2 linked regions of the Coturnix japonica genome follow. The protein of the gene in region 2 binds, or shares a complex with, the protein of the main gene of each other region. Links are inferred from orthologs where the notes say so. Each region holds a gene or a part of one and is shown on either strand. Other genes may lie near its edges. The genes, in order: TRAPPC12 and TRAPPC9.

Region 1 (3,002 bases), on a different chromosome or scaffold from region 2:
ACTGGACTTGTTTGGTGCTTTCAGCCTCTGGATACAATGAAGGCTGTTATGCACTGGGATTTCTTCCTATCCTTAAGAAATCCCCCCAGATGAAAAAGTGACCTATGCTGGAGATGAGGGAAGGCTAATATTACTTACAATGAGCAATAGCATCTCCAGAGGTCCCTTCCAACAACCACCACCCTGTGATTGCGTATGATGGTTATCTAACAACCTCACTTGAGAGCAATGGACACACAAAGGTACAGTAGTCAATATTTGGACTGGGGGAAATGACACATGCTATTAAAGCAACTGAATAAATGTGCTTTCAGAACTGGGTTTTCCATAATATACATGGTCAGTAACTTCTGGCTGATGAAATTAGCTCAGATCATTTACTCACTAATTACTGAAAAAGGAGGCATCAAAATGAATAAGGTCAAATGCATTTTTTCTCATACAAAAATAAGAATCTGAGTAATGGAGTGTATGTATATATGCATTGTAACAAGGAATAACTAAGCAGGGGTGAAGCCGGCTGTAGGTCAGCACAAAGTCTTCGCAATGACATGAGTATTAAGAGACAACACAATAATGCCACTGATTCTTTATAACCGAATAGACTTTATGTTACATTTACACAATAGCAAGAGTATATACAACTTTTAAAATCAGCCCTGCAGGAAAACACTTCGTTGGGAATGATCTAACCTAACTTGAGACACTGAGTATTAAAGCTGTCGCCCTCTTTAACAGCCACAGCCTCTAACAGAGCCTGCTTCTTCTGCATACTGCGCGATGACTCCAACTCGTACATGGTTGTTAAGTTGAAGAGAACACTCTCGTGTAGGTAGTGCTTCGGGTCCTGCTGAACCATTCCTTCCAACTGGCGAAGGGAATCCTTCAGTTTTCCCAGATAAAGAAGACAAACAGCAGCGTTGTTATTAGCCTAAAGAAAAACAAATCGTAAGTAAGTAACTGTGTATACACATATGTATGTATTCATGAATGATAAAGGAAAAAAGAAGTCTGAAGTAACAAATTTACCATGATCTAAGAACTATTTTCTGTGCATGCTCAAGTAACGTGAATAGATTCTCACTCCTGTATTTATATCCTTTCCGTCTTTTCACAAGGTTTACCCTGTGCCAGTAGGACATGATGACTTCTGTGAGCTCACGTTCATCTGCACCAATGGAGGTGACCCACTGCTGAAATGCACCACCCACTGCCTCACCGTGCTCACATTCGCTGTTTCACAGAATCACAGAATTGTAGGGGTTGGAAGGGACCTCTAGAGATCATCGAGTCCAACCCCCCTGCCAAAGCAGGCTCCCTACACCACATCACACAGGTAGGCGTCCAGGTGGGTCTTAAATATCTCCAGAGAAGGAGACTCCACCACCTCCCTGGGCAGCCTGTTCCAGTGCTCCGTCACCCGCACTGTAAAGAAGTTCTTCCGCACATTCGTGCGGAACTTCCTATGCTGTACTTTCATCCCATTACCCCTAGTCCTGTCCCCACACACTACTGAAAAGAGACCAGACTCACCACTATGGCTCCCACACCTCAGGTAATTATAAACCTGGATCAAGTCCCCTCTCAGCCTGCTTTTTTCAAGGCTAAGATTTGGTCTCCATAAATGTTCAGCAAATGCTGATGAACATTGATGGGTGAATTTTTTTCTACATGGAGAAATTCAGAGCCACACCTTTGCTTCATTCACACTTTCATATCAGACGTCATTTTGTCAGACTGCCCCTCTGCTGCCATCTGTCACGTGGCAACAAAATGTGATGGAATATTGGTGGGAAGGTTTCCATTCCACCAATAGCCACCTCTGACATTGTGGGTCTATGTAATAAAATGGGAGGTATTTCTTTCGGAGCAGTCTTTGTAATACAGGACACTAGATAGATATCAGCTTTGAGAAACTTCACAGGCCTCTGCATGTTGTCATTTTCACAGCTTTTTTAACATTTTCACTGTATCTTCCAACACATTTTCTCTCTGGCTTATGTATAGAAGTTCCACACGAGCAACAGGAAGAAATGACCCTATCACAAAGATACCTACAACCCACTTCTGGTAAGTTCAGTAAATAGGGCAGTCTAATATATCTTAAATGATCATATCAGGTTCCACGTTTTCTTTTCCAAACATCAGGTTTTATGAGTTACCAACAGATTCCATCACCACAAAGCCATATATAATTTGTTTAGCAGCAGAAACTTTCATACTTCACAGCTGTAGATAACGGATAGATAAGGGAATATACCCTTTCAAATATTCTTTTTCACTCTCCTCAGGAACCCTTACTAGTAGATTTCTCACCGTTTATCATACGCACTGTTTCACACCTGCAAAATGATGCAATTCATGGGCTGCTTAAACTCAGTCCCCTCTGTCCTTATGTGGCCTTGGATGAGGCTGCAGGGGTAAGCTGTGTGAGTTCTCAGGAGCCACTCACAAGAAGCTGCCACATGTAAATGAAAAATGTGAATAACCTGCTCTTCTTTGATTGCCTTTTGTGATGGAAACAGAGGCTGTGATGTGCAAGGTGTTAAAATGACAATATCCCTTCAATGCTGTGTGAAAGCAAGTTAATCTCATGTACAGTGGCAGCTGCCATTACTTTTTCTGACATGCACGTCTATGCTAAAAACAGTGAGTGCAAATAAAAACAGGAAAAAAAGCTCCCAAAGATCCCATTAAACATAATGTTTTGGAATGCCTATATGCACAACTAAGTGTAAACCAGTTCTTTATTTCCCATCCTTGTCTGCACCTTACCCTTTTGTATACTAAAAAACTCAGGCACAATATCAACTCTGGGTACTTATTAAATATATGTATGAAGGTATTACAACAATAATGAAGGCGTTCATTATAAATGGAGCAATCTGGAGGTTTACCACAGCATTCGATGAGTCGATCCTTAAGATTTCTGTGAAGAATCGATGGGCTTCTGCAAAATTATTCTGGCCGAGGTGGAGAAATGCTCTAGAAAGTAAGTGACA
Region 2 (3,127 bases):
AGTTTTACTAACTCCAACAGAATAAACAAAAGAAGGGTAAAAAACCAAACCCAACTCAACACATAATCTACTAGCATGAAAAAACAGATCCAATGAGTTTGCAAAAACCGATTCAAAGAGATAAGAATGGCCAGCTGATTAATTTTGGCGGTTCTTTAAGTGCCTGAAAACATTTCAATCTGTTATAATTGTATAAAACAGAGCAATGAAAGCCCAAATTCACAGGTAAGCCCCAGGAAACCCAGAAGTTGACTTATTTCCTTTCTCAAGGACAAACTCTTTAGCTTCTCATTTCTTAATAGATCTACAGAAGGAAAGGCAGTGACTCTACCAGGAGCTGAGTGGCACTCAGCTCAGGGTGTGAACAGAATAACTGGAGGCATATTTACTATTTTTACTTCCAGTAGCATAGGAAAAGGCATCTTTACTCCTATTTACCACCAAAGACACCCAATAGTCAGCAGAAAAGTGAACTGCAACAAGTCTGAGAACTATTCTGACAGAGAACCTACTCTTCCAGGGTAATGGAAATCCAGTGTAAGCCAGGACAAAATTCATACAGAAATTTCAACTCTTGTTGGAATGCTAAAAAGGGATTATTTAAGTTGGAGCTGAGACCTTCAAACACATGGTTAAGTTCAAACCTCTTAAATTTAGCACTTAAGACTCTACCAAATCCACTGATCTCAATAGGCTGTATGAAAGTATAATGCATATATTAGCAGTTTCAAAGATTTTTTGGAATCAGTGGAAAACTCTAGCATGGTTATAATCTCTCTCTCTCTCTGAAATTAGCAATAGCAGCTGCCCAAATGACTATCAGACAATCCAGAAAGCATTCAGCTGTTCCTCCAAAATAGGGACTGTGGCCTGGGGTTGGACAGAAACAAGCTGGGGTCAAGCAGAGGATGTGCCAAGCATTTCTGCATACTGCTGTTAATCAAATAGCACACAGCACATTTACAGCTTAGCTTCAGCCACAGGCTCCACAGCACGGATGTGGACACTGGGAAGGCAGAACCAGGAGAGAGGCAGCTCCTTGCTGCAGTTGTCTTCATGGAATTTGATATTCAGATAGAAATCGCCCGTGTAGAGGAAAAGAAGTGCTCCAAAGTACACAGAGTCTTTGGTTGGCTTTACCTGCAATAGCAAATGTGAAAATCAGTAAAATTAAACAAGCAACAAAACAAAATAATTGCACTTTGCAAGCCAGTAGCTCCTTAAAATTATCTCAAAGCACTCTAGAAATATTCATAAATTAAACATCTCATTATCACCTTCCCACAAAACGAAGTAAATTTCTTGACCCTATTCTAGCAATGGTAAAATGAGAAATTAAAATCCTGTGTTATTCAGTCACGCAGCAGTGATGTGGCACAGCTCAAACCAGAAGACCTCCAGTAGTCACTGATTTCAAAGCCCATTTGGTTTAAGGCAAAAGCCACCCATAATGTCCTGAATAATCAGGAGCATCTTCCCTTAGACTGCATTCATCGGAATTGACATTAAAGGTCTAAATCATGGCTGTGAACTCGTGCTAAACACATGGATAAACACCATTTAACAACCTAGCAGTAACTAAATTCGCCCCCACTTATTATGCAGACACAATCTGACTGCAAATTCTAATCAGAAATCTTTAATATTCGCTCCCACCAAAATAAGTTTATGGGATATATCCCCAAAACAGTGGGTTTTTACCTGTCCAAACTGAACACTGCACCGTTGTCTACATTTATATATCTCCCTTCATCACCAAACCATTTATGATCCATATCTTTATTGCCCATCTCTTGCTCCACCATTTCAGCAACACACTCGAGTAATTTTTAACTTTATCAAGCTTAACCTACAATTATTCAGCATGTTCTACTGTTTCAATAAACACCTGCTTCCACAAGATGTTAAATCCGTTTTCAGAATGCCTAGAACCAGGTTAAAGTTACTGCAGATATGAAACACTGAGCTGGCACAAAGTCATACCATTGGATGGAATTTGTTTGAGAGATTGTGAAGAGACAATGTCAGTCCAGCAGAACAGACTCAATTAATGGCAACTGATGCTCCTCAGTAGTAGTCTTCACTCTATCAAGACCATCCTACCAGTTCCATTCTGCTCTCTGGACCCTGAATAATTTCTCAAGATATCAGTACCCTACTCCCCCAGGTAGGCTTGTGCCCATGTACTTTCTTTTTACTTGAATATTCAGTGATAATGGGCTTTCTTTAGTCATCCCCAAACCCTTCAGTGTCCATCACAATACAGAGTCCAGAGCTGACTCCAATTGACTGTGACACAACACAGGTCAGCCAAGCTGAGACCCAAACCCACCTACCAAGGAAACTCTGGCATTGCATCCACAAGCACTATGCTGTCCAGGTGTGCACGACTTGACTGGAATCAGGGGAAAAAAATGCTAGCAAAGGACATCACTGGGAAATGAGCTGTTTGCTTCTGTTTTCTTCTGTTCCAGGCTTTTTTGGACTTTCACTGCCAGGCCCTTTAGCCAGCAGACATGTATCCCTTAGAGCCACCTGGGATATTAGGCTTCTTTGCTGCCTAAAATCCTGCTCCTACACCAGAACCTGGCTATTCACAAGTGTTAGTATCATCAGAGCTGGCAGAGCCCAGATTCCCTTTGGCTTTGGTGCCAATCACTTTTGCTGACCTACAGCAAACTTGTGTCAGCATCGTACAGTCCTAGTGAGTAATGAGAGCCGTCACAGCTGTTGTACTGACCCACGTCCTTGGCACCTCACCTCCTCGCTGGGTACAAGCGTGTGCCCTCTGGCATTGTGTCTGGACATGCAGAACATCAAATAGTCTCCCCTCCTCCTCCCTTTTCCTCCTGCTTGGGCTGCTTGCCTTATTTTTGCCTAACTGGAATTGATGCGTGCAGAGAAGGACAGAGGTAGGCACTAATGCAAGTAATGGGTGGAGATGAGCAGCAAATGAAGCCCCCAGTCCATTTTTTCCTTAATCTAGTTGCCCCATGGAGAAATATCTGTTAAAGCACTAATCACAGCTCTTGACAGGCAGAAAGGTTGTGTCTTCAGGCACATCAACATCAACACGGTCTCTTCATCTCTTTCAGGTTCTGCCTATGTGTTAGCAGTCCCCACCTTT

What was found.
Region 1: TRAPPC9 (region 2) and TRAPPC12 share a complex: the UniProt entries of both Homo sapiens proteins name them as parts of the multisubunit TRAPP (transport protein particle) complex. The link is inferred for Coturnix japonica from reciprocal best matches to the Homo sapiens genes TRAPPC9 and TRAPPC12.

What each region holds. Positions count from the first base shown.
Region 1 is NC_029518.1:85,500,377-85,503,378, reverse strand, and holds the end of TRAPPC12 (trafficking protein particle complex subunit 12), read right to left. Parts: intron 2,986-3,002; coding exon 2,898-2,985; intron 932-2,897; coding exon 689-931; 3' UTR 575-688; downstream 1-574. UniProt on the Homo sapiens protein: Component of the TRAPP complex, which is involved in endoplasmic reticulum to Golgi apparatus trafficking at a very early stage.
Region 2 is NC_029517.1:130,719,706-130,722,832, forward strand, and holds part of TRAPPC9 (trafficking protein particle complex subunit 9), read right to left. Parts: intron 1,141-3,127; coding exon 961-1,140; 3' UTR 1-960. UniProt on the Homo sapiens protein: Functions as an activator of NF-kappa-B through increased phosphorylation of the IKK complex. May function in neuronal cells differentiation. May play a role in vesicular transport from endoplasmic reticulum to Golgi.